4 linked regions of the Coturnix japonica genome follow. The protein of the gene in region 3 purifies or fractionates together with the protein of the main gene of each other region. This does not show direct contact. Links are inferred from orthologs where the notes say so. Each region holds a gene or a part of one and is shown on either strand. Other genes may lie near its edges.

Region 1 (7,556 bases), on a different chromosome or scaffold from region 3:
CACGTATATAAAAGAACCAATGTCACTTCCTGTTTACAGTAGAGGAACTGTGAGTGGCTGGAAAGCTGCCTGATGGAAAGGGACCTTGGTGTACTGATGGCCAGTTGGCTGAATATGAGCCAGCAGTGTGCCCAGGTGGCCAAGAAGGCCAATGGTATCCTGGCTTGGACCAGGAATGGTGTGGTGAGCAGGACTAGGGAAGTAGTAATCCTGCCTCTGTACTCAGCATTGGTGAGGCCTCACCTTGAGTACTGTGTTCAGTTTTGGGCACCTCAGTACAAAAAGGACGTTGAGGTGCTGGAGAAAGTCCAAAGATGGACAACAAGGCTTGTGAAGGGCTTGGAGAATCTGCTCTATGAGGAGAGACTGAGGGAACTGGGACTATTTAGTCTGGGGAAAAGGAGGCGGTGGAGAGACCTTATTGCTCTCTTCCAGTATCTGAAAGGTGCTTACAGCAAAAGTGGGGTTGGTCTCTTCCCACTTCTGTCAGGTGACAGGATGAGGGGAAATGGCCTCAAGTTCCTCCAGGGTAAGTTTAGGTTGGACATCAGGAAACACTTCTTTACAGAAAGGGTTGTTAAGCACTGGAGGGGCTCCCCAGGGAGGTGGTTGAGTCACCGTATCTGGATGTGTTTAAAAACTGTTTGGATGTGGTGCTCAGGGACATGATTTAGTGGAGGGCTGTTAGTTAGGGTAGTATGGTTAAGTCATGGTTGGACTCAATGATCTCTAAGGTCTTTTCCAACCTGAGAGATTCTGTGATTCTATAAATCGTGTTGGGTTTTTCCCCACTTTTAGGGAGTTCTCTTTCTGAGGATGTGCAGGATTTGCTTAGAGAAACAAGGTCAGCTGAGCAGTGATTGAATGTACTGAATGATAGAATTGTTTGGGTTGGAAGAGACGTGAAGATAACCTAGTTCTAAATCCCCTGCCATAGAATGGGTACCACAGAATGTCACTTAGTACTCGAGGTTCCCCTTTTGATATTCTGTTATTGTGAGCTCAGGTAGCTCTTAGAGCTCTCTTAGCCTTTTGTTACTTTTTTTGTCTCTCTAGAGGTATTTTCTCCAGGTTGCCAATTGCAGAGTTCTTAGAAAGGGACAAAGAATTTTTTGTCTACTACAAAGCAGTGGAGTATCTAGTCTCTGCATTCACGTGCTCTGTCAGTGCTAGGTAACTGTCCACTGATCTCACTTGAAATTTATAGACTGTGGTCTTCAGAATTTCTTGAACACTGGGAAGTGAGTAGAACTGTTTCACGTAGCTGTGCAGACAGGGAACTGTTTTTCTTCACATTCACTGTCTGAAATCCATCGTTACTACTCATACATCTCACTGTACTCGCAAGAAAGCCTGCGCTGGAGCTCTTCCTTTCTTCTTACTCATGTACAGTGTTCAGTGTTCTGATTTCTGACTCTGTACCTTTTGTTTCTGAGTGTTTAGGCTGAACAACCTGAAGAGAGCAGCAGCTGACACGCTGGAGGGGAATAAATCTGTGACTTACATGGATTTGCGAGATAATCAGCTGACAGATCTGGATCTGAGCTCATTGGGCTGCCTGGAGCAGCTGCACTGTGAGCGGAATAAGCTGAAAGAGTTGACACTGAGTGGCTTCTCCCTTCGGGCTCTGTATGCCAGCAACAACTGTACGTGTCCTTATGTTCTTCATCTGCCTTCTTCCTTCAAACCCTGGGAACAAAGGAAACAATCTTTTTGCTATCTCCTCTCACAAAAATACTAATATTTACTGACATTATTGAGAGCATAGGTGATGGGCCTTCTGATGTCTACCCTTTGGGATCATATTATGGGTATGTGTGCACAGGCTGCACAACATAAAGAGTTGCCATCCAAGTTATTTGTCTTCTGGTGAGAATTGTCTGGGAGTCCACACATAGAAGCACTGTTCTCCTTTATTCTGGTGTCTCTTGTGGCAGACAGTGAACTGGACAGCAAGAAGCTGTGCTGATGTACGGTGTTTGAACTCTGTTGTAGGAAAGACAAGTAGAGACATTTTGTTGTGTCTGCAGAGTGAGGCTATCAGTGTCATTTACTAGCTAGTCTGTGTGCTGCTTTTCTGCTTTCCCTCTGGAGCTCTTCAATAATATTTATTTGCTTTACTTCATCAGGTCTCACATCTGTCAGTGTTTACCCGGTTCCTGGTCAACTGACATGTCTAGAACTTTCCCAGTAAGTGACTATACACCACAGATTATAAAGCAAGTATCTGAATAACTTTGGTGTTTTCTGCAGATGTTTTCTGGAGTTGTTACGCTTTTGAAAGAGTTGAGAGCAATTGAGAAAAGGCACTTCATCTCCACAGTAGAACTGGAAAGCCCAGTGCTGAAGGATGATGAAATTGTTGCAGAAGCCCCTCTGAACCATTTTCATCTGTCTAGGTGACCGGCTGTCCTTCAGCTGCAGGCTGTAATCAGCAAGACAGGCCAAATAAAGACCACTAAGAACCTGCAACAACTTACTAGGCTGAATGGTGGGAATCTGCGGGGCAAATATGTAAACTGTGTGCTGGTGATTCACTGTTGTCTTCATTTTCTTTATCTGCCCTAGTAGCAAGATTGTCATACCTGTAAAATAGGGAATCTGATCTTGCATCAGTTCAGATTTGAAGCACATTAGCTGGGTAGCATAAGGTGGCCTGTTCTGCTATATCAATGCTTGAAATAAAACGAAAGTGAGATCATCAGAGTCTTGCAACAGTAGTTCCTACCAAACATGTTGCATTATGCAGCTGGCCAAGAGATAAATGCCATGTGAGTAGCTCAGATACTGTGGTGCTTTTTTTTTTTTTTTTTTTTCCTATTTTTCATTTGTCTGTCAGCAGCCCCGTGCAGTGCTCAGATGGGGCATATTCTATATCAGGTGTTGGTATCTAGCTTTTTCCTTGCTCTTCTCAGCAATGAGCTACAGTGTGTCCCAGATTGGGCCTGTGAAGCAAAGAAACTGGAAATTCTGGACATGAGCTACAACGTCCTTGTGGAACTCCCATCAAGGTCAGCAGACTACTTTCTTGTACGAATCTGAACTTTCTCGAATGGGGAGCTGACTGGGAAGAGAGAAGCAGTGCTATTCCACTTACCTTATTCCTTGTTGTGCATATAGATACTTTACTTAATTTCTCTGTGCAGTTTCCAAAGTACTTTGCTTTCATGTGTTGAAAGAACTGACTTCCAAATCAACCTCTTGATTAACAGGGGCCAAATAGTTCCGTCCCTTGCCAGGAGTTTGCACCTGAAGTAAAACACACTGCTATGAATTAACTTTGTGTTACAGTAGTGTCTGTGAACGCAAGTTATAGATGAAGCCGTAACAAACCTTGCATCACTCCAGAGTTTTCACCAGTTAACTTCCAAAAGTAGATATCTCAGAGATATGATATAGTTTGTCTCAAAGGCAGCTTTCACAATCATCATCAGCCAACTCCTTTCTGCCTGCTTCCATTTCAGCTTCTGTAGCAATGTAGTAACTGGAAGCCAAGAGTTAATATGACTTTTTAATATTTTATTTATTTTATTGTTTTGTATTTTTAGTGACTTATTTGAGGTACAAGGGATATCATGGAAAGAACCAAAGCCCAGATGTTCTTGGCTGAACATGTGTTTAGCAGGGAGTGTGACTGTAATGAATGAGAGTGTCTGGGTCAGCTGTGTTGAAATGTGAATGCAATGGTAGGTCACAGTGAAGAAATGCAAATGGCTGAAGTAGTTAAAGCAGCAGTCATAGGAAATGTTCTCAGCAGTGACTCTGGTTATCAGAGACAAGATTATGTGCATCTAAAGCAAGAAAAGAATGTAGCAAGGTTGAGATAATGAGAACTTAGAAATTTACCCATGCTGATGGATGACAGAATGGTTTGCATTGGATGGAACCTTAAAGATCATCTAGTGCTACCACACTCCCCTGACATGGTAGGACACACTGCCCACTAGATCTGTTTGCCCAAAGCTCCATCCAACCTCACTTTGAACACTTCCAGGAATACAGAATTCACAGTTTATCTGGACAGCCTGCTCCTGTCTCACCACTCTTGTAGTGAAGAATTTCTTCCTAGTATGTAACCTAAAACTATCCTCTTTTAGCTTAACGCTGTTACCACTTGTCCTATCACTCCAATCCCTGATGGAGAGTCCTTCCCCATCTTTTCTGTTGGCCCACTGTAGATACTGGAAGGCCTCCATACAGTCTCCCTGGAGCCTTCTCTTCTTCACACTGAACAACCCCAGATCTTTCAGCCTGTCTTCATAGGAAAAGTGCTCCAGCCCCTGATAATTTTCATGGCCCTCCCTCTGTGCTAATAGGTTCTCCTCCTTCTTAGGTTGTATGAAAAAGACCACATTTTAAGTGTGTTACATATAACAAACATGCAAAAGGCAGACTCAGAAACACATATTTTTAAAAATTCAAGTGTTTTTAGAGATTTTTAAGTGCTGGAATTTACTGTATCCCCACTGGGGATTTTTTCATTGTGTGTCTGCTATCAACCCTGTGGATATATCTTGTTTCAAGTTCCAACTTTGCTAATATGGACTTTGAGCTATCAGGGTTATCCAGCAGATTAAAGCATGAAAAAGCCTTGCACAACGACTTATAGTCATAAAATTGTTGGTTTTTTTTTTATCATCTGAAAATAAAATTGTCCCCATTCTACAGATGGGAAGAGGGAGGACTGAACCAAGCTGAACTAACGAACCCTCTCTTTCTAGGATCCTCAGCAGCTTGAGCCTTCGGAAACTGATAGTGGGGTACAATAATCTTCAGAGCCTTCCACCTCTTCAAGAGCACATTCCAATGGAAGTGCTGGACCTTCAGCACAACCTATTGACTAAACTCCCTGAGACGCTCTTTGTCAAGGCCCTGAAGTGAGTGACAGTATCATGGATGTTCTCTGTTAACCTTTGAAGCTGTGAAGGTGATATTTGCGTGACTGTCCTTGTGAGATGCTGTGAGCTTTATTGACATTTGCGTGAGAGATTATGATGAGGTAATTCAGGTGCTATGAGAAATCATCCAGCCAGTGTGAGAGAATTGGTCCATGTTAATATTTAATTACAGGAAAACAGATATGTGCCTAACCTAGCAGCCAACCATGGTATTAACTTCAGTTGCAACTGCTTCTAAGGTCATGTTACTACTTGGCACGCTTTGTCTTTAGAATGAATTTATTAATTTGGGAGCAAAGAAAGGCCATACAGATTATCAGATGTTACTGCAGAAATACAACAGGTATTTCTCAAAAGAAAAGCAAGAGAAATCTCTACTCTTTGTCTATTCAGACTTGAGTCAACCTTTCTTAAAAGACTCCAAGTAAAAGTTCATGTAGTTTCCTTCTACCAGTATTGTCTACTTTCTCCATCTATTCTACAGTACTCACTGTTTACTGTAAAATGCTGCATGCATCTGCAGTGACATGTAGCTAATGGTCATTTGTAGACTCATAAATCTTAATGTGATTAGGGATATTACACTGTGTTGTCTGACTTGCCTGCCTACTGCTCTTTGTCCATCTGCATAGGCAATTTTATAGCTGTATTAGCAACCTTTCCTGCTGTTAGTGGAGTGGTTTAGATGAAGTGATTTTTTTTCTTTTTTTTTTTTTTTTTCATTTCCTGTGGTCAGCCTCAGGTATCTGAATGCTTCTGCGAATAGCCTGGAGTCCTTGCCCTCTGCATGTACAGGGGAGGAGAGTCTGAGCATGCTGCAGCTGCTTTACTTGACCAATAACAACCTCACAGATCAATGCATCCCTGTCTTGGTGGGACATCCGAACCTACGGATCCTGCATCTGGCAAACAACAACCTTCAGGCTTTCCCTGCAAGGTAAATGCATAACTCGTGGTCTCATATCAGTGAATTAGAAATGTAGCTTGTAAGGGACAATGTCTGTGGATGCTGTATCTGCAGGTCCAGGAAGTGATAAATTCTGACATTTAGGATATGCTATTGTTTCCCTTTCAGCAAACTCAGTAAGCTGGAACACTTGGAAGAGCTGAATCTGAGTGGCAACAAACTGAAAACAATTCCCACAACTGTGGCAAACTGCAAGTTACTTCATACACTTATTGCTCACTCTAATGACATCAGCATCTTTCCAGAGATCCTGCATTTGCCTCGTATACAGGTATTCTTACCTTACATATAGTGAGGTATCAGGAGGAAGCTTGGGTTGGAGAATTGTAAGTAACTGCTACAAGAGGAACTGGAGATCTCAGTATTTTGCTCAGTCAGCTCGTAAAGAGGGCACAAAATACACATAGAAGATCTGTTGCCTTTCTTAACTGACTGAAGATGGCTCAACTCACATTCTTTGCCACTGTTCATGACCTTGGCTTATAGGTCATCGCCATTTTCGTGAGCTGTTTGTGGGATACGGTTGTTAGTGGGATTTATCTGATGTTAGCACAGAGCACTGGAATAACTGGTAACTGATCACATGAAAGAATAGAGAATATGTTCTTTGTCATCATGCTTTTTTTTTTTCTGCTGCAGATAGTGGACTTGAGTTGCAATGAATTAAATGAAATCCTAATCCCTGAGGCACTGCCAGCTGCTTTGCAAGAGCTGGACCTGACTGGAAACACAAAGCTGGTGCTAGAACACAAGACACTGGATATCTTCAGGTGAGAGTCAGGGAGTTGCAAAGCTAGTTGTGACAGGTATGGGGAAGGGGAAGTTTCCCAGGAGAGGAAATGGGCTAGCACCATATATAACACAACTTTGTGTAACTTTACAGTGTTTCCTGCCTGAGGCAGCAGCTGACGCTTTCTGTCCTGTAATAAGGGAAAGGGCTGGGTTCAAATCATCAGCGAGAAACTTCTCAAGTGGACATTCTCCCAGCTGTGTCTGACCATATGTATTCTGACATCATCAGAATGCCAGGACATTGAATTCCTGTATTTGCTACTGTGTAAAATTCTTGAGTGGATGTGGTCCTTTGGAACAAGCTGTTCAACATGGTGGCTGGGAGAGAAGAATTATTTTGTTTTCTTCTCTCTCCATAGTCACATTACCACGCTGAAGATTGATTCTAAGCCCTCCCTCCCAACAGACTCAGCACTCACTTCTACTTTTTGGAGTCATGGAGTAGCTGAGATGGCTGGGCAAAGAAACAAGTGAGTATCCTGGTTTATTGGACTCTGATGTTTTGGCTCCTCAAGTTGCTATGTGAAGTGCATTGCTAAACTTCCAAGCAGACATGTTTTGCTGAGTAGCTCATCCATTCCCATCTCTCTGAATCTCTTGCATAGTGTCAAGATTGCTTACCCTTGTCATGCTTATCTTGGGATCCTTGGGCAAGGCTTTCCCACTCTAGAAGAGTTGCTTTTGCTATTGCATGCATACTACATCCATTTTTCTCTTAGTCCAATCAAAGAGGGTTGAGGCATTCCAGTAATAAACAACAGCTGAACATGTTGTGGTGCAGTGGCTGTCAAGACAGTGGCTTTGTTGTCTCGTGAGAATGGTACTCATGGCAACATGCTGATGGCTGTGTTTTTGGAGACCATACAATCTTCTGAGGCAGATTAATTTTGCCTGTATGC
Region 2 (8,353 bases), on a different chromosome or scaffold from region 3:
GGCTCTTAAACACAACCAGGGATGGCGATTCAACCACCTCCCTGGGGAGCCTATTCCAGTACCTAACTACCCTTTCTGTAAAGAAGTTCTTCCTAATATCCAACCTAAACTTGCCCTGGTGCAACTTGAGGCCATTTCCCCTCGTCCTGTCACTTGTCACTAGTGAGAAGAGACCTGCCCCACTCTCACTGTAAGCACCTTTCAGGTACTGGAAGAATGCTGATAATGCTGTGTGCCAAGTGACCACTGCAACAGGAGTGCCGTGCCCAGCTCCAGCCCGAGATAAGCAGGGACAAGACGTTCCTTCAGCCAGAAAGGTGCTTCACAGCCTCATGTCCTGCTTGAAGGATGCGGGGACCTGAGCTCTGCCCATTTCCTTCTAGAAAGCTTAACGTGCAGCCAGGAAGGTACTGGGCTCTTTACTCCTCTTCCCATAGCATGGAAATAATGATATTTTTGCATAGTGCTTTGAGGTGTAGAGCTGAATAACATTTAGTGCTGTTGATATAACTTGAGTGGAAGTGGTTTTGGAATTAGAAACACAAGATCAAGCCTTGCTGAAAATGATTTAGGGGGCTGTAAGTACAAACAAGCCTGCAGGCAATGCAACTCTGCCATTCCTGAATATATAAACACAAGTGCAACCTGTTAGATAATTTAAAGGCTGACTCTATTTCAGGCATCAATTAATGGAAACTTCTCTGTTCAAGAACAGTCCTTAATCGTATGCTGAATCTAAAAGCACATTTATAATTAAGAGTTTTGTTGAATAAGCACCATCATAAATGCCTTGCTCGGCTGAAGACCTTACAATCCCGGATGAGCAGAAGCAGCCCGGAGCACACGCGTTGTTGTGTTTAAGCTCACAGCTGGAGCAGCAATCAGTGTAAATTTTCTGTTCCTTGTTATGTGCATACCCAATTTGCTCCTACAATCGCGACAGCCCACTGATTGATGAGGCATACAGGTGCATACCTAGCATTTTAAAGACTGCAAATCATTCACTGCTGATAAAATTAAGTATTATTGTCAGAAGAGCTTCCGTATGAAGACATTCAATTTCCCTTTACAAAGAAGGATATTATTAAATGGTCCGATTGGAAACGGGCCCTTTGCTCATCTTTCTCCTGCTCTTTGAATTATTTCCACAGTGGCAAATGTTTTGTCTTTTGCTCGAGTATTTTGACATTGAGATCAGTCCCTTGCTTCCATGTCTGTAGGGAAAATCCCCCAGACTAGAAAAACAGGCTACTAAAAAGAGCCGAACAAGCCCCCTAGTATTTTACAGCGTTAAAGGACATGAAATTCCTTCTTTCTAAACTCCCTCCCTAACTTCACGCGTTAACTGGAATCACTGGGGTGATTTATTTCTTCTTAAATCACGGATGAACGTTCAGCAGTGCCACTGATGATGACTTATAGCAGAAGAAGAATGAATAGAATTTTTCCCACATTAGCATTTCTCGGTGCGCATCCGAGCTTTTCATCCAGAACTGTCTCGTCAGCCAAGTTTTCTACAGTCGAGGAGTGAGGATTCAGTAATTCCCATTTAACGAAGGCATGCTTTATAGATAGGCTTTCTTTAAATACAAAACAAAAAAAACAAATTGGGCAATTGTTGCATATTTGATACGATTTAGAAATTCTCTTTGAGTATAGCTTATGGCAAAACTGGTTCTACAAAGGCTCTGGCTCTGGTAACTGGGTATATTACACAAAAGTCACTGTGGAGTTTCAAGGCCTTCTGGTGTTTTCCTGCCAGTGTCTACAGGCACGTACAGTTTGTTCGTTTGCTATAAAGACTTTTGGTACGGTATCAGAGTAATCTGTGATAAATTACTTTTTATTCCCTTATTTTTCTGTAGAAAGCTCCTACAGTCATAAAACTCTTCACGAAGGTTGCCAGACTCCAGCTGGAAAACTGCAGATTGCAAACCATCCTGTTTCATTTAACCATTCTTCAAAATAGCCACCATCGATCAAACTTTAGAAAAGGAAGATGTGCCTTTCAGCCTCCCACTTCCTCCTGACAAAAAGCAATTTCAGAAGCTCCATTCCCACATCTCACAGCAGTAGTTAATTCGCTGCAAAATTCACGATTCCAAGAGAGTTAAAAAGCATTGATCAGTGACTAGGAAATGGAGAATGGCACCGTTTTCTCATACGCCTAAGAGTTCAATTTGAATGTGCAGGTAATGACAAGATTTCAAATGCACTTCCTTGCATAAAGCAAAAACAACCTGGCTCTGTACCACCAGCGTTTGGAGATGCTGGGTTGTTACAGAAATCACTGCCTGACTATTCAGTGCAGCTTCCTGCTCCCCAGCAAATTGCACAGAGCAGAGACAAACCCAGCAGTTTTCCACCTTCTGGACCTCAGTGCTGCTACTTGGTTTGTTAACTGCCTAAAGCCCTTCATGAGCAAGGCCCCGAGCAGCAGGAGAAGCGAGGTCAGCTCAGCCCCTCGCCGGCTCGCAGCATCGTGCAGGGCTGGGCAGGAGCTCCTCCATCTCACCCCACCACGTGCCTGACCCGAGGCTACTGAAATGACCTTCACTCTGCGTTATCATAGCATCACGGAATCGTTTGAGTTGGAAGGGACCTTTAAAGGTCACCTAGTCCAACTCTGCTGCAATGAACAGGGACACGCACAGCTAAATCAGGTTGTTTAGAGTCCCCCTCCAGCCTGACCTTGAGTGTCCCTGGGAACGGGGTGCCCGCCACCAGTGTTCTTGCACTGTGTACGTTATCTTGCCTTGGGAGGCAAAAGGACTTTGTTTAGTCTAGGAAAGACTGCTCAGGGATACAGCAGCTGCCTGTAAGTACATTGGGGGCAGACACTCAGAATTAAAAACTAAAAAAGCTATTGGAGTCAAAGGGCAACGTGAACATGTGGGTACAAACCAGCCATGTGTAAATTCAGAACAAAAAGTGGAAGAAAGCTCCTGACCACTCGGGTGGTGCTGCGGGCAGACCCACTTGGTTCAAGACCAGGTTGGACGGGGCCCTGGGCAACCTGATCTAGTAAATGTGTATATTTGGTGGCCCTGCCAGGCAGGGGGTTTGGAACTACATGATCCTTGAGGTCCCTTCCAACCCGGGTCATTCTGTGATTCTGTTCACTTTGAGAGGACATTCAGCTAGGTAAAAAGACCTGGGATCCCAGGGATGGGGGCACACCTGATGTCCCCGGAAACCTCCCTTCCAGTTCTGCGTTCCTGAGATGTACCTGAAGATCTCCATGTTTTAGGTCTGTGGGGAGCAGAGCAAATCGGGCTGCAACGCACTCAGCGCTGCACCAGAACCCCTGCTTTACTACAGAACACAGCGTTTCCAATGAGCCTCTGGCATGAAGTTTGGCTGCCATTTTACAAAGGGTATTAGTAAGGAATAAGCTCAGGCAGATACAGCCACTTCCAACCCACCTCACTCAGCTAAAACACCCCCAGGAGCACGAGCAGATTATCTGAATAAACACTGCAGCGTTATGTCCTTGCGGTATGAGAGCTGGTACCTATGTGCTAATTGCATTGATCTCATTGTAACTTACCATTTCAGCCATTCACTTAAAGCAACTTTATATGCAGGCAGGATGGGATGGGGGTAGTGTAGTCATGGCAGCGCTCTCCTGAGGAGAGAGCAGAAGGCGGGAAGGCGAGGAGCGCTGGCCGCCGGGCCTTGTAGTCTCCGTGCTGTGTGGGGAATGGCTGCGGACTACGCTCCCCAGCAGCACCGCGCTCCGCCATGTTGCCGTCACTCGGTGTTTACGGGCGAGGCCCCGCCCCGCCGCGCGAGCGGTGCCGTCACATCGCGCCGCCTCCCCCGAGCGGCGGGGCCACTTCATATTCATGAGGCGCGGGCGGGCGCGGCGCCGGGCTCGCTGGGTGCCCGCCTCCCTCATGGCGCTGGCGACGGCCGGGGAGCGGGGCTGAGGCGGGTGCGCGGCGCGGGGGCAGCGGCGGAACGCTGCGCCCTGAGCCCCCCCCCTCGTTCCCGGGGCGCGGCGCCTCGCCCCGCTCGGGCTCCCCCCTCCCAGCGCCGGCCGAGCGGCGCTCCCGGCAGGAGGGCGGCGGCAGCCCCGGCCCCGCGGGCGATGGAGCCCGCGCAGCAGCAACAGCAGCAGCGAGCGAGAGAAGCGGCGGAGCGCTCCCCGGGCGGGAAGGGCCCGGCGACGGAGAGCGGCGCGGAGGCGGCCGGCGGCCCGCGGAGGAGGCGGGGGGCGGCCGGCGGCTCGGCTCCCCCCGCGGCGCTGGCGGCCCCCGTTGTGTCGGGCGGCGGCTCGCTGCTGCTGCGGCGGGGCCGGCTGAAGAGGAACCTCTCGGCGGCCGGAGCGCCGCTGGGCACCCGCAGCCTGGACAGGAAGGCGCTGCTGCCCAAGCCGTCCCGCCAGCTGCAGCCGCTGCAGCCCCCGGAGCGGGACTGGGTGCGGCGGGACCTGCAGCGGGGCTGCGTGCACGTCTACGAGCGCCACGCCAACCGCTACCTGCGCCCGGTGCTCTGCACCCTGGAGACCACGGCGGCCGAGGTGGCCGCCCGCCTGCAGCAGCCCGGCCCGCGGGGCGGCGGCGTGGTGCGGGTGCCGGGCAAGGCGGGCCCGCAGCCCCCGCCGCCGGAGGAAGGCCCCGCCGCGGGCACGGCCGAGCCGGCGGCCGAAGGGGAGCGGCCCGGGAGCCGGCGGGGGGGCGCCGAGGAGGGCGTCTCGCCGAACCCCGCCGCGCCGCCGGCGGAGCTGTACCTGGCCGGACCGCCGCTGTCGTGCCCCTCCCTGCTGGGAGAGCTGGGGCCGGCGGGCTCCGACTGCGAGAGCTTCAGCCCTAGCGCCGAGAGCGTCTCCGACCGCCTGGACCCCTACAGCAGCGGTGGCGGCGGGGGCTCGTCCTCCTCGGACGAGCTGGAGGCGGAGCCGGCGGCCTCCGACGGCGCGGAGGCAGGTGCGGGGCCGGGCCGGGGCCGCCCGCCGCCCGGAGAGTTGTCCCCGGAGGCGGGGGGCGGCCGGGAGGTGCCCGCGGGGCCGCCCGCGCTGTTCGTGCAGCTGCACGGGGAGACCAGCCGGCGGCTGGAGGGCCACGAGAAGCCGCTGCAGATCCAGAACGACTACCTCTCGCAGCTGGGCTTCCGGGACCTGTGGCGGGTGCAGGAGGAGGGCATGGACGCCGAGACCGGCTGCCTCATCCGCTTCTACGCCGGTGAGTCGGGACGCTTCGCTCTGACGCCGTCTCGTAGCGGAGCCGGGGGCGGGGGGAGAAGGGAGCCGCCGTCCCCGCCGCGGCCACCGTGAGGGCGATGCGTTCCTGCGGGCACAGCCCGCTGCTCGCCTCCTGTGCTGGGAACGGGCTGCCGCAGCCTTCGTCACGGGAGGGGAGAGCCCCCCTCTCCGTACAGCCTCGGTGACGGGGCTTCGGGGGGTGTCGGTGTCGGTGGGAAAGTTAGCTCCCACGTCGCCGTTATGCAACGGTGCTCTTTGACGGGGGCTTAAAAATATCTCTCGTGCGAAGATACCGAGCGGCGTTCAGCCGAGGAGCTGACAGGTCGGGGTTAGATAGGAAAAGAGCAGAAATAACTGCTGCGTCCTGGTGATGAAGGAAGGCTGGCGGTGCTGGCGAGGGTGGGGTTCAGCAGGTGGTGCTGGAGGGAGCGCTGCTCTCATGCTCCCGGCGGCCGTTTTAAGTTGCCCTGTTCTAACAGGCTGAATTCTATAGGAAATAGAAGCAAGAGACGTCGGTCAGCCTTAGGAGCTCAGCGACGCCTGTTTGCATGGAGCTTTTGCGCGTTGAGTGATGAATTCGACCTGCTGAATGCGGCTGCTTGATTTCGGTGTCGCAGCCTAATGGCTAACGTAGCTTGTGCGCCCTGGGCTTCCTTGTACGAGTCAAATCTGTAAGCGTACATAGGATTAAATGAATGCAAATGCGTTATGTAATTCCATAGAGCATGGCAGCGTGCCTCTGCGCTTCAAAAGTGCAGCGTTTCTTTGAAAACTTTATCTCTTTGGGGGGATCTGCGATCAACACCTGAAACACCTGTGATCCCGTGCTTGTAGCGCAGCATTTCCAGCCAAAAGAGTGAAGGAAGCATTGCTGGGATGTCGTCTGCTGACTTCCTGCAACTATCCTGGCAGCTCCTCTCGACATCCTTATGGTCTTTCATTTTTCTGCTGGGTGATGAAAGGAAGGAGACTTAAAAAGAAATATGCATCAAATGAGGGAGTCTATTTTGGCTGCAGGGTGAGGGTGTTGGAAGCACCTTTTTGATTGAATGATCCTCCAGGAATACCCGAGGGAATGCTTTAGCAGTGCTTGCCTGCTTGCCCTGGGCTCATTGGCTTAGGCAGGCTGCCTTGTCCCAATGGATAGCAACCAGCAGCTCTGTCCCCCTGCATTGTAATTTCCTGCAAGCAATCTCAGTAGGGTTTGATCCTAGTCTTGTACCGATGTAAAACGGCATAAACTGAGGCTGGTTTCTTTGCACTTTTGCATCTATAAAGAATTCTTTTCCCTAATCCCCTCGGAGTGTGAAGAGAACGCAGCGATAACTGCTATGCTTCTCTGTTTCTGGGGAGAGAGAGTTCTAAGGCTGGAAGATCTCAGTGCTGAAACAATGCTAAAAATTCCAAACAAAGTAAGGTGATCCAGCCAGTGATTTCAGCCATTACTGTGTGCTGCTCATTTCTCTAGCTGTGAAAATAGGCTTTTTGGAAAAAAGCCTCGGAAAGGGTAGTCAGGCATTGGAATGCACTGCCCAGGGAGGTGGTGGAGTCACCCACCATGGGAGTGTTCAAGAAACGTTTGGATGTTGTGTTGAGGAATATGATTTAGCTGGGAAGTATTGGTAATGGTTGGACTGGATGATCTTCTAGGTCTTTACCAACCTTGATAATTCTGTGATTCTGTGATTGAACTAGGAGAGAGCAGAGGGTCAGGGGTTTCACAGCGATGATAGAGCTCTCCTAATACGTAGCTCTTCACAGACATTCCGCAATGAAATGTCTGTTATTTTAACATGGTATTCTGAATTGAGGAGGCTCAGAAAACAAAATGTGACGCTGAGAATGTAGAAGTGCCTCCCGTGGTGCTGTCTTGACTCACTTCTAAATGCGGTTAGCTCATATTTGTTCTGCGTCTCCTCTACTTCTCGTATTCTGAGCGTACTCGGTTTCTTCAGCCTCTCGACCGAGCATTGCTGTGCAATAATGCTGTTACTAAAACAGAGCCTGTTACAGATGTAAGCATCCGATTCTGCCCCCTGTAACATTGATTTGAGCAGAACTGGGCATTAGTGGCAAGCCATGCACGTCAGCTTCTCCCTGTGTTGAAATCCATCTCAACAAAAGATACCGTCCTCGAAGTCTGGAGTACTTAATCTCTCTTTAAAAGGATATAGTTAAATAGCTTTCTGCTGAGATACTCCTTTACTGGTTGTGGAACTCTATAAGAACCCATAGTGCAATTACAGTCCTGATATTGTAGCTGGGAGACTGATTAGGTCAGACTTACTAAACCATTCCTAAAACCATAGCGGTGGCTGTGATCCAGAAGGCTTCTCGAAAACAAGTTATAGTATTCCTTATTGCCCTGTAAAAATACTTCTTGTAAGATGCGATTTCTCCCAGTGGCCTTGCGTTCTCTGTCATTTGTGTGCCAAAGGAAAATGGGCTAACACACCAATGGAGCCATTTGGAAGATTGCTGAAGTGCAGTTATTAGACCTTAGATCAGGAGTAAGCAGAGTCCTGTTCACAGAATCACAGAATTATCAAGGTTGGAAAAGACCTAGAAGATCTATCCAGTCCAACCATTACCAATACTTCCCAGCTAAATCATATCCCTCAACACAACATCCAAATGTTTCTTGAACACTCCCATGGTTGGTGACTCCACCACCTCCCTGGGCAGTGCATTCCAATGCCTGACTACCCTTTCCGAGAAGTAATACTTCCTAATGTCCAGCCTGAAACTGCCCTGGTGCAGCTTAAAACCATTCCCTCTGTTCAGCCCTGTGGAGCATCTACATGGAAAGGGACATGAGAGATTTGGTCTTGGATTATAGGACCATCTTGGGGCTTTGAGGCTTTGTTGCTTTCGTACTGCAAGGTGATGGGGTGTCTGATTCTCACACTCTACTGTCATTAAATTGTCTGCTCTCTGATGTGACATAGGGCTGCTGCACCTGATGGTGTCATCACATGTATTACTTTCCAGTAGGTGACTGCCTGTGGGCAGAAAACGAAGAAATGCCAGATGTGATTAAGGGTGTTAATTTGGCAACCGGCTGTCAGGTGTTGTTTATGAAAAGAGGCTTGTTGCTCGTGTGACCTTTTAGAAGGCTGAGAGGAGAAACCAATCCAGCTTTGTCTG
Region 3 (8,249 bases):
TTGTATTGAAGCCTCAGCTGCATGCTGACTTGCCCAGAAGCCTTTATAATAAACAGAGTGAATACACTAATTATAGTGGTGGGGGGAAAGGGAAAATGCACTAATTTCCTAGTAAAAAGGGAAACAGATTGGGTAGTTAAATGTCAACAGCAATCTAGAAAGCCTTGACTTGTCAGTCACTCCTATGACAAGAAATAAGATGAAATAGCATGCTCCTTCTCAAGTTTAATGAATCCACTAATAAATCATTTTGCAAAACCAAACACAAACCAGACTGAAGTACCTCAAGACTGTCCCATAAGCAAGACATAGGCAGCAGCCCTCATTCCTGATGTGTGCTGCAGAAAAAGGCAACCCAAAGCACCAATGCATCATGGTTTGATAAATCATTTCTGAATGATCACCTTATACTTCAACAGAAAAAGCCTCCTCTAACATCTTCAACACTCAGTTAAGATTAAGTCAACAATCTCTAAAGAACAAATAATTCTCAATCTGACTTAAAAAAGCAGTAAAGGCATTGCTCAGGTGAGACCATCAGGCAACAGATCCAACCCAACAGGCCAGGAGGCAGCTTTGTTCCTTTCACTTTATCCCCTTCTTTGCTCTCACTGTGCTTGCTCATAACTAAACCCAAGGTGAAATGGTTCAACTCACCAATCCAAAATAAAATCTACCCAGAGAAAGCACATGTATTGAACTACCAGTTTAGCAAGCTAATCTTTGACAAGCTAAACTAGCTCTAACTGAGACTGAGCATAAGCAAAGCTAGCAAGGATTCAGGGAGCACATCAGAAAGATACTTCACTGCTCTACCATCATTTCCAGCTGTTACTACATCAGTTGAGTTCACAAAAATTCAACCCTTCAGTCTAACAGGAAATCACATCTCGCCTTAACACCAAAGTTAAGGAGGACTGAAAGACAAGGGTTACTGACACTCAGCATAGTTGAGAATAATTATATACTTAGATAAGTAAAGCAAAGTGGTTACCTCCCATTCAATCGCAGTTCAATTTTTCCTTTCTAAACTATACATTCACTTCCTTTTTCAGTGGATACAAACCAAAAATCAATAGTTTTCTGGAAGCCTACACTACTGTATCAACAGAAGGAGAACTGATCAAGTTTTCGTTACCCTAAAACACAAACAAAATAACAGACAAGAAGAAACCCAAAACAGTGGTTCACAGCTGGTATGCTTTCATTGCCATGGGATACATATGGTGATATGTTTCATGGTCATGGCAATTCTTTCTGGTAAGAAAATCTCTGAAGACATCTTGAAATGCTCCCCAAAACTCCCTTACCATTATTCCTATTACCATTATTTATCAGTACTCCAATCCCAACACGACCATCCTGGACATTGTACTTCAAGCAGGTTTCTTAGAAAATAAAACAAGCTTAAACAAATATCTTGAAAAGATTTTACATTCTATAGTTTGTATTTCCTAAACAGAACACATATGTTACCAGCGTACTTTAAAAGATGATTCACAAATGTAGCAGATGCAACATGTTTAGGATTTAATGGAAGCTAAAAGAAGGAAACTTAACATCGCTGATTTCAAGAAATGTCCTTACAAAAGTGGTACTTCACTTAATATTAGCATTAAGTGTCGTTCATGGCTCCAGTTTGATTCCTGCTTGCCATGTACTGATCTGCAATAGGTGAGTGATACAAGAATTATCTCAGCATCAGACAGACACTCCTCCTTCAAAGTCCTGGTGATTCGTTCACTCATTTTATTAAAAATATAACACTTAAAGTTTGCTCCTGTTCTTGCTCTGGAAAAGTAAAATAAAAGACACAGTCTTAGCTACCTGACACAGCACTAACTTCAACTTGTACTCTACTATCTTAACAGCTTCACCAACATGAAAATTATACTCTGAAAGTTATTACGGAACATTTTAAAGAGACACCTCAGTAACGGTGAAATAACTTAAAAGAGAAGTTGTTAACATTTGTATTATGCAGAGGGTCACAAATGTTTTGGTCTTCAGAGGAGCAAGTCCCTCCCCTGGCTCCACTGCCAAGCAAAGGAAGACATGCATAGTTCGTCCAGTTTAAGATGGACTTACATACTATCAATGTAGGTAGCAGTTGCTCCTTCCTGCAACTATAGCCAGAAAATAGGTAACCTTTTACATTAGAAAACTCCAATCATCAGTTGAAAGTGTCAGCCCCTTCTTCTCTCAACTCTGCACATAGACAAAAGCATCTTTCAAATGAATAGTTTCAAAATAAATTCCAAAGAAACAACCATTACAAGTTAAAGACAGCCCACCTTTTCTAGTCTGATTTTAAACACTTTCCTTAGCTTATTCCAGCTATTTCTCAAGATTAATTTTACAGAATTTAGCATATTACAGAAAAAGATTTAAGTATATTTTCATTTGTCGGCATTTTAAGAGCTGAGTGAAATGAATTCTGAACAATGCATACATTTTATATATTATATATATATATATATATATAATTTTATATTACTATGAGGAAAATAACATGCAATGCTATAACAGGTATATCACAAAGCTCTTACGTTCACAATCTGACAAACTAACATTTTCTCCATTACTGTGTAGCACAAAAGCAGCTTTTAGCAGCCAGAAAAAAAAATATATTGAAACATTAATCTCAAAATCAATTCTACAATTTGAAAAGTTACTCAGTCCCCTATTTCCAGTGCAGTCCCAAGCTTCAGATTTCAATTCTCTTTATTTTAAGCGTGGCAAGAGATGATTAAGACAATATGCAAGAATCACACCTACCATTGCCACACTACGTAAAGGCCTGTTCTGTAACACGCAAGAGAACTCCGCGGTTACTTTGTATGGAAAAACACAAGCTCAGGATATAAGAACACAAACATGACAATAGTTTAAATACTTGATTTTCAGAGATATTGTCACAATATCTTGTAAACAGTAAAGACAGCAAATGCTTAGAAAACGTTTGATATCTCATGACACGCTTCAAGAAATATTGACTAAGTGTTACTTAAGACAACTAGGTTAAGAGAACTCACTACAGTGCAAAACCAAGTCCCAGACCATTATACAGAACATATCAGATCTGTCAAGTCACAGTAAGCAGATAATGAGGTAGATTTAATTCTCCTGTAGATGCTTCTATTTTGCAGAGGAGCAGTGATTTGGGTGTTTGCTTAGCAGCCTGCAGACTCTGTTATGTAGCCTCACCTACAGGCTTCCTGCACAGTCCAGGGTGCATCACCAGCCCTCCACCTACTTAGTCCATGTTGTATGTTGGACTAAAGGCAGGGAGGCTTGAAAGGACTCACCTTAAGGGAGCTAAGTTTCAAGTATACGAGATAACAAACACCCATTTCTTGAAACATAAATCAGAAGCCTAACAATCATTACATCTGTGTTTTCATATATTGAGTGACACACGTTCATACTGTATGACAAGTTCCAAATGCTCTTCTAAATGCCATAAAGACAACGACCCTAAGAAACAACTAGTAGAAAGGATTTATTCATAAACACGATGACCTGAAACATCAAACGCATAAACTATAAGTCCCTCATCAAACGTTAACCATTAAAGAGTCTATCTCAAGTCGCACCAATGAGCGTCTTCCGTAAAAACAACTTTCTCTGCGTTAATTACCTGACATTTAAAACTCAGCTCTCTAGACTGCTCCCATTTAAGAACAACCCTGAAATCAGCCTGCACTTCAAAGGTATGAGACAGGCCTAATATGACAGCAAATCCTGCAGCCCTCCGCCCGAAGCTCGGCAGCCTTTCTCTGCCCTAACCGCGGGGATTTGACACCGCCGTAATCACGGCGGGCATTAGCTCCCAGCAACCTCCGACCTGAAGCAGCAAGTGAAGGAGGCTCGCAGTCCCCTTCGCTGTCGGAAACCCTGCCCCCATTCCTGCACAGCGAGCAAGGCCCAAGCGATCCCACCCCTCCCCACCTCCCCACGCACCTACGGGTGCGACACGGAACGTGCCATACCCCCCGGTAAGCAGCGGGCTCCAGCCTCCTGCCCGGCCCTACGCTCCCCCTGCCCCAGCGGCTGAGCGTGCAGCGCCGTGCCGGGCCGTGCCGCCGTCACCCCGCGGTCCCGCCGCCCCCCGCCCACGACGCGGCCCCGCGGCCCCTCGGCGGGCGGCCCCACAGCGGGCGGGTGGGCGGCGCGGAGGCCCCTGAGCCCCACAGCGCGGCGGGCGAGCCCCGGTACCTTGCGGACCCCCTTGTAGATGTAGAAGTAGAGCTCCCGGCCCACATTGAAGCAGAGCCGGTCCCCGTTGCCGCTCTGGTCGTTGACGTTGACGAAGGAAACGCGGACCGGGTTGGAGCCCTGCGAGTTGAAGGGCACCCGGTTCGGCCGGCTGTACTCCGAGTGGCTCAGCAGCTTGTACAGCCCCTCCCGGGTGGTGAACTGGGTCTTAATCTCGTTCATCTCCTTCCCTCCTCCCTCCGCCGCCATCTTGGAAAGGAGCATTCATCCTGCCCCAGTGCCCGGATGTAGCTCCACTGCGCAAACGCCGCCGCCGCCGGCGCTCGCTCGGCGCTGCGCGGAGCCGGCCACGCAAACGGCGTAAGGGGGAGGAGCGGCCGCCGCTGTTTACTGCGCCTCCGCGCATGCGCCGGGCGGCCTGTGCCTGGGCGGGACTGGGCGGGGAGGGGCGGGGCTGGCGGGAAGGGGGAGGGGGCGCTCCGTGAAGGGGCGCTCAAGATGGCGGCGGCGAGAAGGGGGAGTACAGGGGGTTTGTGTAGGAGCTGCCTGTGTTGGAGCGGTGAAAAGGGAATAAATATCAACGCGCAGCCGTAGGTGGATGTTTCCAGTCGACCCACCGCTGTCCCGATTCTATGGTTCTATAAAGGCAGGCTGTGCCTAAGGTGCCAGGCTGGGGAGTTGGCCCCGCTGAGCGTTTGTTAACTGGAAAAACGGGTTGTCACGTAAACCACGTTGTTGTGAAGCAGGTCAATGTCCTCCTCTGTGTGAGGGATGAAGTGGAACGGGCTGAAAGGGTTATTTTCCCCAGGGAGGCAAGGCTGTGCCTTCTGGTAACTGCATCAGCCTTGTGGTTGGCTTAAACTAATCAGAGACTGATCTCTAGTGTAGAAATGCATCTGACCTCTCTGTCTTTGGGTACCTATTTCCATTGCCTCCCTTGAATCAGTTCCAGTAATCATGCAACCAAAGGGTGAGTCAGATCAGCCTGAGAAGCGCCCTGCATGCAGAAATGAGAAGCAAGTTGTTGGTTGGCAACCGAGCTGATCCCATCATCGCAGCTGCTAGAGCCAAAATAAGGGAGAAGTTAGAAGTGTGCAGCTGTGGGAAGAGCAGCACAGTCAGACTGCCTTGTAACAATGTGCTTTCAAGGTTATTTCACATCTAGCTGATCTGCTCTGATGTAGCTGCTCCAATAGCTGTTGTCCTCCTCCCTCTTTTCTACTGTCAGTACCTACTGCTACATCCTTTACCAGCTGTGTTTTTCTGACCTTGTAATGAGCCATTTCTGAAAGACAAGCAGGTACTCCCTTCAAATATAAGGACAGGTTTTTATGAACAGGTTGGCCCAAGTTGTGGTGGATGCCCTGTTCTTGGAGACACTCAAGGTCAGGCTGGAAAAGGTTTTGAGCACCTTATTGAGCTGTAGATGTCCCTGTTTGTTGCAGTGGAGTTGGACTAGATGACCTTTGCAAGTCTCTTCCAACTAATTTGATTCTGTGATTCAAAGGTGAAATGACTTAAATGAGAAATGTGTAAGGCAGAGGGGACAGGAAATGCAGAGCAGGAGGGAAGTGAGACCTTGCCTTCTTTCCATTGGTTCAATCACAGAAGCCCACTCAGACTCCTGAGGTCTAATGCTTATTTTCAGATCAGTTTAATTCAAAGGGATTTTTAACTTGAAGCTAAATGTTGCCTTGTTGTTGATCATCAAGATATTAGTACAAAGTAGCTGACAGGAAGCAGCTGAAGATCTCCAGGTTAACTCATGCACAATGGAGATTATAACTTAGTGGTTATCTGAACAAGTACATATAATCGAACTGTAATGAGGCCAGGTATTGAAACCTTGCTTGAAATTCTTAAGACAAAGCCAATCAATAATGACCGATAGATCTTGACACTTTTATCAGCCAGCTGCCAGACTGTATTGATGTCCTCCTAGAAGTACATGAAGTAGGTGAGTAGACCTGCAATTATTTTAAAAGTCTTCATCTAGAGACTGCTTCTTTTATGTGGAAATTCATGAATGGACTCCCAGAGAGAAGGTCAGAATGTTTTCAGTCATAAAAAGAAGAGCAGTAAATGCGAAGATCTCTAAATGATGGTAATACTCAAAACAGACAAAGATTTAACCCCCCAGAAAAGTTGTCCCAAGTTGACATGCTCAGTATGTCTTATTTATGACGCACTGAAAATAGCGGGTAGAACGCTTTGAGAAACTAAGTAGGAAACTTTAATGGAGGGGTTGTGTGGAATGCAAACTTACTAAAACCATAGTAGGCCATCTGTCACTAGTGGAATGAGTGTGATCCAAAGAATAAATAAAGTGAACATGTAGCTGGTTATCAGCGGTATGTGATGGTGCAGAAAGCCAAAGAATTGATGTAGTGTTTAACATTTACCAAGAAACATCAATAAAAGCTGCTGAGAGATTCCACAGAGAATCCAAGACAAATATTCATTCAAAAAACACAGCTGCAAGTCACAAGAACGCTATTGTACAGCCCCATCAACAATCCTTACCAAACAGTTGTTTAAAGAATGGGAAAAAAGATTACAGTGATAAGCCTTATGAAAAAGTTCTCTGTGGCACTTGTAAACTCTTCTGTTTCAAGAGAACCGAAGATTGTAGTTCTGTAATGATCCCATTAGGACACCCATAGACGTGTTGTTTTGTATGCACAATCAGTGAACAAAAGGCAGTTGGAATCACTGCTATATTGTGCCTGTCATTCTTGCGAATGTTTTGGTAAGTTGGAAAGCAGATGTGAGCAAAATTCACTAACATTAATAAAAGAATATGGCCTTCTGAAATTGATGCATAAATTGGTCCTACAGCTTTTGGGGCTGCAGTATAAGTAGTGCTTTTGCTGGCCTTGAGAAAAAAGCCTTAAAACTGAGTTAATCCAAACACAGTTATTAACAAAACTTTTCTATGCTTGAATTGGAATGTTGTCTGTTACTCCCCTGCAAGTGCAACAGCTGAGATCAGTGGTGGTTTCAGTGATGCTTTTATCAGCACTACTGGGGGGGGGAAGTGACTACACCCTATTCCATCATGCTAAAAGCATCTCTTCTGGTATGCACTGCCAGCAGATTATGAGGCAGAAATCAGGAGCCCATCTCTGTAGTATTTATCAACTGTAGTATGTCTGTCATGTGTGGCTTGGGCTACTGATGCTAAAAGGATTTCAGGTATCTAATGGGTGACCAGAGTATCAAAAGCTTTGCAGTGTGTTACTTCTTACCAAATTATTGATGTGTGTGAATTACTAGCAGGCATGCATATACACATATATGTAAGCAGCATGTCTGGACTCTGTATTTGCGTCAAGAATTTCTTCATAGCCACCAACACTAAATAAATGTGATAATGGATTGTGATATGTATTACAAACCATAAGGGTGCTAGAAAAGCATGTAGGTGTTTACTCAGCTAGAATACATTGTGGTTTTGTGCTGTCGTCTCTTCCCAAGAACAGAAGTATGTGGGAAAAAAATGTTTTCATAGCTCTGGGGGCTTATTAATTAAAAACAAATGGATATCTAAAGAAAGAAAAAAACCATTTGTGTTAAAGGAGACGAGATAAAAGATATCTGCTTTGCAGTTGGAATTGAGTAACAGTAAAATCTGTTGTGTCTTAGAATGAGTTTGTTTTGCTGTTTGCAGTCAGCTCTCTGAAAGTTATCTCCTGAGCAGACTAGCTTGCCTCCATAGTGAAGACTGTTACTGACAAAAACAGTTCTTATCTTGAAGTCTTAGCTACCCCCTAGATTATGTTCTCTGAAGGTAAGACTGATATTAAGAACTTCATTTAAATTCTGTGGAATGCTGGAGAGACTGGTTTGATAAGCCTGCAAATAGCTGTGTTTGTAAAATGTGCTGCAGCATAATGTGCTTCTCAAAATTCTCTACATACGGAAGACCATTTATCCATACATATGGTACTGCTGTAATCCAAGCGAGGAATGACAGCGTTGTGAATAAGCAAAGTGTGATCATCGTTCAAAAGCAATAACTGACTTGCTTA
Region 4 (7,015 bases), on a different chromosome or scaffold from region 3:
CTTTGCTTCCATTATTATTATTATTATATTTGCTTTATTAATTGGGATGAGGAGTTGGTGCAGAGTTGTAGAGCAGGAGTTGCTGAATAGGAGGGCAGATGAACTGTGGCGGGGTTACTGATGTGAGGCTGGGCCTGGGATGGCTGCAGCCTGGCACGTGTTGAGCAGTGACTGTTCTCCCACTTGGCAGCTCATTGCATTGTTCCTGGAGGTGGCTGGGTGGCTGGTTCTGTCCTGCTGCCACTGCTGAGATGTGTGGGCCGGGTGCTGTCTTACACTGTGATGAGACCTACAGATGGAGTGTGTGATGGCCTTAGCCTCTGTGCTGCTTGTTTGTTCTCTGCTACTTGTGCTTCTCAGACACATTGCTCTTCCATGTCTTGCCTCTGTCCTGTTGTCACAGCTGCACATCCTGGTGTTTTGTGTCTTTGATTCAAACCTTTGATGCTGGCTCTATCTGGAGTTCCCTGTGGGGGCCGGGACCCTTCCAATAACCACATCTCTGTGTTGCACCTGACACTGCAGCATTAACTCGTGCATCTCCAGGAGGCACGGAATGACCTTGCCTGGTTTGTCAGAAATGTTGAAGTGTGGCTGCAGGCAGCCAAAGCAGGGGAGAGATTTGCAGCTTGTTACGGGGAGCTGACAATGCAGCTGATTCTGCTGAGGGGCACATGCAAGCTCCAGGAGCACTGAGTTCCTCTCCCTTTGCTTCACATAGGCTGGAGGGATTGTGCTTTGCACTTCACCTGTTTATCATGGGGGGCTGTTCCTGAAATTCTCAGCAGTGCCAACTGGTGACCTCAGGCAGGAAGGTGGGAGCAAGGCTGCCTGGCCTCTGTGTTTCCAGCTCAGATGTTTTCCTTTAAAAGCCTGGCCCTGGCTTTTTGTCTCCTCACACCCACCTCCAGGATGGGAAGGAGTGTAACAAAGCTGGCTGGCATCTCTGGCAGGTCCTGATGGAAATACCTAGAGATGCCTATAGAGCAATGCTGGGAGGTCGGTGTGTGACCAGAGCCAGCAGCATGGGTTCAGGCTGTGGGAGCAGCTCTGTAGTGAGGGGATTCCTGCTCACTTTTCTTTTCTGCTCCCAGGGCATAGAGTCTGAGAATGTGAATGTAGTGAAGAGACTGTTCAAAATCCAGAATCTGAATGCCAGCACTATCCGGACCGTGATGGTGGCTGACTGCAGCCGGTACGATTCCCCAGACCTGCTCCTGGACTATGAGGAGCAGCTGGCTGCCTCTTCCACCTCCACCTGCCCAGTCTTTGATCTCGGCAGTGACAGCGAAGAAGAGGAGTCCAAGCCCAAGCAGACTCCAGAGCCAGCAGTACAGGAATTGCCGGATGACGGGGGTGTGCCAGCAGAGGATGAGCTGCAGCAGTTCTTTGATGATATCATGGGGGGCTGTGTGAGGCCTGCCATGACTGAGGCTGAGCTGGAGAACAAAGTGGCTGAGCTGTTCATACGCAACAGAACTAAACCGCCTGAGGTGAACCTGCTTTCCACGGACAGCAACAGCAAGACAAAGTACTTAATTTTCACCACAGGGTGCCTCACCTACTCTCCGCACCAGATAGGTAAGGCTGTGGTTGAGCTCCAGGGCACGTCAGCCTTCTTAGGGGTGTGGGCTGCAGCTACGCTCTGGATGTTAATCTGGAGAAGACCTGTGTTGTTTGCTGATGTTTGTGGTGAGTTGCAGTTTTGCTCAAGCTGGGTTCTCTGTACAGGGCCAGAGGCTTTTGAGACTCCTCCACTAGCTGGAGGTGGTTTGCCTGCTGGCACTTGCCTCATGGTTTTGTTGCTACCAGGGCAGGATCTTCACAATTGGACACATAGAGGATGCTGAGTACAAGGCACTGCTAGCGAGAGCCTGGAAGCAGCTGGCAGGGACAGGAGCCCTGTGCCAGCCCTTATCTCAGCCCCTGACTGGAAACAAACCAGTCCTCCTTTCTTAGCAGTGCTGAGGGAAGTCCCTCCTTGAAGCCAATGGGCTTTAATCAGCCCTGCTGGTTTGTGGCAGAAGCCCATGGATGGCACGATCCTCCTTTCTGTTCCCAAGGGATTAAAAGGATCCTGCCCCACCAGATGACAACTGCTGGGCCAGTGCTTGGGGAGGAGAGACGTTCGGATGAGTTCTTTGACTCGCTGGATCACGTCATTGACATCCATGGGCACATAATTGGCATGGGTCTCTCCCCTGACCACCGGTGAGTATGACTGGAGGGGGGAGGAAGCTGCCTGCTGACCTCGGGCAGCAGAGAGTTTGGGTTACAGCTGTGTGGGGGCTTTGGAGTGAATGGGAGGAGAAATGACTTTCTGCCTCAAGGGCAAACCTCTCTGCATCAGGCTGGGGTGAGGCGCTCTGCATTAGGGCATGTGGCTGCCACTTTCTGCCTGTGTTTCAGAGCTGCAGATCTGCTAAGGACCAGCTGTGTGGTCCCTGCCCTGCCTGCCTGTGTGAGAGGGTTTTATACTGTGGCTCCATGAGTGCAGGGTAACCCCTCTGCTTTCCTCCCCAAGATACCTGTATGTGAACAGCCGTGCCTGGCCTCGGGACTGTGTCATCTCCGACCCCATGCAGCCACCCCCCATTGCTGAGGAGATCGATCTGCACGTGTTTGATTTGAAGACAATGAAGGAAGTGAAACGAGCCCTCCGTGCACATCGGGCCTACACACCCAACGAGGAGTGTTTCTTCATCTTCCTGGACGTCAGCAGGGACTTTGTGGCAAGGTGTGTGGCACTGGGCTGGGCAGGATGCTGCCCAGGTACGGGATGGCTTTGGGTGTTGAGCTGTGGGCTGTCGTGCTGCAGGTAGGGCTGGTCCGAGAGCGGGAGGCTGCTGTGAGCAGAGCAGGAAATAGGAGGTTTGTGTGGAGCAGGGATGGAGTCAGAGGGTGCTGCTGCAGGATGTCTATTCTGGTCCTGTTGTGAAATCAGCAAGGAAAAAGGAAATGTGTGGCTGTGGCTTGTTTGTCAGTGGGTGGCAGTTGCCCTTCTTGAGGGCTGCAGGCTGCAGGTGTTACAGGGCAAGTTGGGGTGGCTGGAGCAGGCTCACTGCAGCCCAGAACAGGGCTGGTTTGCTGCAGGTGCCACAGCGTGAGTCTGGCTGCATTTCCAGAGCTTTAATTGATGCTGCTGTGAGGCCTCATTTCAGACTCCAGTTCTGGAAACCTACTTGTGTTTGTAGCAGGGCCTGGGTCACAAAGGGGGTTTGCCCCCTTAGGGTGGGTGTCTGTGGGTGATGGCACTGCAGATGGAGGCTGGGGCTCCTGGCTGGGTCAGGGCGCTGGGTGCAGAAGGCAGAGCCTGCCTGGCCGGTGTCCTCACTGCTGTCTTGTCTGCTGCAGCGGGGCAGAAGATCGCCATGGCTACATCTGGGACCGACACTATAACATCTGCCTGGCCAAGCTGCAGCACGACAACGTTGTCAACTCGGTGGCCTTCAGCCCAGTGGAGCAGGAGCTGCTGCTGACAGCCAGCGATGACACCACCATCAAGGTGTGGCGCTCCCCTCGCACCGTGCGAATCCAGCAGGCCAGGAAGCCCAGGCCCAGGAAACTGCTCTTCTCCTGGCTCATGAACCAGAAAAGCTGAACCCAGGTATAACTGCTCCTGCAGCTTCCTCACTGCGGCCACCTCTGGAGCTTGCGGTGCTTTGAGCCCTGCACAGCGGAGACGAGCTCTGAGCACACCAATCCTGTCAGCTGAGTTTGGAGGGACCTCGGCAGTGGTAATGGCTTCCTCCTTGGAGTGTCTGCTTCAAAGACAGAATGTAAGGGCTGAGGACCAGTTCCTGGGTCCGGTGGTCACTGCAGGGTAACCTCCCCACAGCTTATCACAAACGCTGCTACTTGGTCACAGCTCTCTGGGTGAGCTTTGGTCTCTGAGAACAGACTGAGGCGCGTCTCCAGGGTTTGTACTGTGTGGGCCTGGAACGTGGCTGACTTCACTGAGAGCTACTGGCTACAGAGCACCTGCACAAGCAGTGGTACAGTGCTGTGCTGCCTTACTGCGGGTCTCTTTTAATATAGTAGTTTTATTATTGTTTTGTTTGTCCCAAATCTCCATGGGCAACTTGTCTGGATGCTGGGTGCGCCCAGTGCCGCCCCACACAGTGTTTGGGCCACAAAGGGATGGCAGGAAGGATCAGAGGCTGAAAAGGCAGCGGGGGAGGCAGTGCTGGGGCAGAGCTGGAGGGGCAGGGCTGCCCTGCCATTGCCTTCTCTTACAACTAAATCCTGATACCATCAGTTTACAAATCTGAGAATGGGGAGAGCTGCTGGTAACGCCGATCTGGCTTTGCCCTTGTCTTCCCCTGTTCTGTAGCACCTGAATAAGCTATGGCATCGGTAACATATTTATTCCAGGGGCTCTGCTGTCCCTTCCAGGGGGTAAACTGTGATGATGGGTCTCATGGTCACCTCCCTCCCTACTTGAGTTGTGGCACTTTAGGTTTTCTTGGTATGTTCTCTGTGAGCAGGTGAACAGGCAGAGGTGCAGCCATAAGTGTGAATAAACCTCCTTCCACCAGGGCTGACTCACCTGGGGGCTGGTGATCAGCTCCCTCTGAGGGCTCCTCTGATGGGGGAAGCTGGCTCACTTTATGAACTCAGTGTTGTTTACTCTGTATTTGTCCCTGAAGCTTTTCTCTTTCCAGCCTTCAGCCAACTGTTAGAGTCTAAAATTAAGCTCCTAATCTCCACTTGGCCCAGACAGGGGGAGCTGAAGCTCCCAGGCCAGCAGTGACCCCAGGGGCTGCACCTGCTGCTACGCTCTGGGCCCCCCAGCTCAGGAGCAGCAGGGCAGGTGTCTGTGCCACTCACAGCCTCAGGTTGCAAACAGGCTTCATGGAGACAGCGGCTGCTGTCTTAATATGCACTGATGGCTTTAACAGCTCCTCCAGCCCTCAGCAAGAGGGTTTCACACCCTTCTCTTGCTCTCTCTTGCACCCAGCAGGTGCCCATGGCTTTATCCAGAACCCCTGTACTCAGGTTTTCGGTCATCACAGGACTTCTAGAAACAAGGGAGTCCTTTGTGTGTGTGTGTGTGTGTGTATATGGGTGTGCACTCAAGATCCTAGACCCAGCTCTTGGTCCCCTCACACAGCAACAGAACAGTCTCCACCTTCCTACATCTTCCCTCCTGCCCCAAGATAGCAAGTCCTGTTTGCCTCCCTTGGCGCGGTGCAGTAGTGAGCAAGGCACTGAGGGTTTATGTTTGTACCAAGTTTTGCTCTTCACCATGGCATTGAATAAATACTCTGCTAAAGCATCTTGGCAATGTAAGTTTGTTTTTCTTAGTACTATTTTTTCTACAGAAGCAAAACTGAAGCCAGAAGTTCAATATTGCTCTACGTGCTGCAGCCCTTGCAGAAGAAGCTGCAGGACGGGATCTGGGCAGTGCTGCCTTGGTGTCCTTCCTTGCCCTGCCTGCAGGAAAGCAGCTGAGCTGGGGGGCAGCTCACCCCACAGGGGCACAGCCCCAGCCCTGGGCATGGGGCAGAGTGTGAGGACTGCAGTGTGGCAGCAGGAGACCAAGCACAGCCCTGCTGCTGTCCTGGCCCGGCACTGCCTCTTCAGCCCCATGCAGTGATGGAGCCTGTGAGTTACACAGCACAGCAGCTCCTCACGCTGCTTTTATTAGAGTTTTTCACCACACACCATCCTCAAGGAAAAGCTCCCTCACAGTGACAGGCTGAGGTGGGTGTTCCCTCGTAGCTGTGGTCAGATGGGGGAAATCAAGGAACAAAGGGGGGAAAAAAAACCCACTTTGCTGTGCTGTGCGCCAAATGTCCATCTTACAGCACAGCTTCAGCGCTGCGTCCAGGGGAGCACCTCACCCACACTGCAGTGTGCAGCCACAAGGAACAAGGAGCACACACTGCCATTAACCCTCAGCCACGGGATGCTCAAAAGACAGAAGAGGACTCATCCCCCCCAGGACACCATTCCCAATTCTAAACTAGCGGAGCTGACACCCACTCAGGGCAGACATCAGCCAGGGTCCCTCCTTGGCAACTGCTTCCACAGAATGGGCTGCAGAACAGAACCCACCTTTTGCCAGGCTGCGTTCCCTCCTAAGGCACTGAGGTGAAGTGGAACTGCTGGGCCCAGCAGAGCCCTGGAGACAGGCTGGCACAGAGAGGGTCTGCGCAAAGCGGCAAGGCTGCAGGCAGGTGCAAGCAGCAAGGAGCATCCCAGCCCCACTCCACAGCCATCCCAGACTGGGAAGAATTCACAGCCCCCAGCCGAGCTGCAGCCTTCGCCTTTGCACAAAGTTGGACTGCAGCAAGGAACTGGGCACAGGACCCACACAGCACCCAGCGCCGCTCTGAGGGAGAGGGGACGCTGTGGGCACAGCTCCAGCCCCTCACCAGGCTTCAATACGTGCCTGCAGCAGATGCAGAGAAGCCTGGGGTCATCTTTCACTTCTAAGTCCCAGCTGCTCTCGCTGTGTTTCAGGCAGGGGCTGTGGAGCTCAGGGGCTCCTCCACGGAGCACGCAGCAGCACAGCAGCACAGCACCCACAGCAGCACAGCACCCACAGCAGCACAGCACCCACAGGGCTGGTGGCAGCAATTGCTGCCCCGAACCGAGGGAGATGCGCTCCCCTCACAGAGGCAGAAATTGCAGCCCTGAGCACTGAGGGGGGTGTGAGGGGGGGGGTCACCGCTCTCCAACCAGCAGCAGCAGCCTCTCTGCCTGTCCTCCAGGGCAAAGGAGCAGTGCTGGGGCTGGAGAGGACCCGGGCAGGGGTACGGGCTCAGCCCTCCCAGCTCACCAGTCCCACAGCTCTTGGGGCAGTGGGATGGGGGAGGAAAAGCACAAGGAGGAAAGGAAGCAAGATGTGAGGGGCCAGCGCGGCCAGTGGCCAGTCTGGTGTTACACGTGGCCACCACAAAACAACTCCAGAGGGACACACGGGCCGCGATGGAGGGATGTGACAGCAGGCTCTTCTCCACGAAATAGAGACCTTCTCTGGGGTACAGGTGCAGGGCACTTGCCCAAG

What was found.
Region 1: the proteins of WDR20 (region 3) and PHLPP2 purify together in Homo sapiens (affinity purification with mass spectrometry; 4 studies listed by BioGRID and IntAct, with this or other methods). This does not show direct contact. The link is inferred for Coturnix japonica from reciprocal best matches to the Homo sapiens genes WDR20 and PHLPP2.
Region 2: the proteins of WDR20 (region 3) and PHLPP1 purify together in Homo sapiens (affinity purification with mass spectrometry; 4 studies listed by BioGRID and IntAct, with this or other methods). This does not show direct contact. The link is inferred for Coturnix japonica from reciprocal best matches to the Homo sapiens genes WDR20 and PHLPP1.
Region 4: the proteins of WDR20 (region 3) and FBXW5 purify together in Homo sapiens (co-immunoprecipitation; 3 studies listed by BioGRID and IntAct, counting the BioPlex papers as one, with this or other methods). This does not show direct contact. The link is inferred for Coturnix japonica from reciprocal best matches to the Homo sapiens genes WDR20 and FBXW5.

What each region holds. Positions count from the first base shown.
Region 1 is NC_029526.1:17,702,636-17,710,191, forward strand, and holds part of PHLPP2 (PH domain leucine-rich repeat-containing protein phosphatase 2), read left to right. Parts: intron 1-1,443; coding exon 1,444-1,646; intron 1,647-2,129; coding exon 2,130-2,190; intron 2,191-2,915; coding exon 2,916-3,011; intron 3,012-4,721; coding exon 4,722-4,877; intron 4,878-5,634; coding exon 5,635-5,835; intron 5,836-5,973; coding exon 5,974-6,136; intron 6,137-6,504; coding exon 6,505-6,635; intron 6,636-7,016; coding exon 7,017-7,127; intron 7,128-7,556. UniProt on the Homo sapiens protein: Protein phosphatase involved in regulation of Akt and PKC signaling.
Region 2 is NC_029517.1:62,823,573-62,831,925, forward strand, and holds the start of PHLPP1 (PH domain leucine-rich repeat-containing protein phosphatase 1), read left to right. Parts: upstream 1-4,093; coding exon 4,094-5,186; intron 5,187-8,353. UniProt on the Homo sapiens protein: Protein phosphatase involved in regulation of Akt and PKC signaling.
Region 3 is NC_029520.1:45,045,396-45,053,644, reverse strand, and holds the start of WDR20 (WD repeat-containing protein 20), read right to left. Parts: upstream 4,561-8,249; 5' UTR 4,483-4,560; coding exon 4,219-4,482; intron 1-4,218. UniProt on the Homo sapiens protein: Regulator of deubiquitinating complexes. Activates deubiquitinating activity of complexes containing USP12. Anchors at the base of the ubiquitin-contacting loop of USP12 and remotely modulates the catalytic center of the enzyme.
Region 4 is NC_029532.1:183,137-190,151, forward strand, and holds the end of FBXW5 (F-box/WD repeat-containing protein 5), read left to right. Parts: intron 1-1,094; coding exon 1,095-1,581; intron 1,582-2,063; coding exon 2,064-2,211; intron 2,212-2,524; coding exon 2,525-2,737; intron 2,738-3,354; coding exon 3,355-3,601; 3' UTR 3,602-5,283; downstream 5,284-7,015. UniProt on the Homo sapiens protein: Substrate recognition component of both SCF (SKP1-CUL1-F-box protein) and DCX (DDB1-CUL4-X-box) E3 ubiquitin-protein ligase complexes.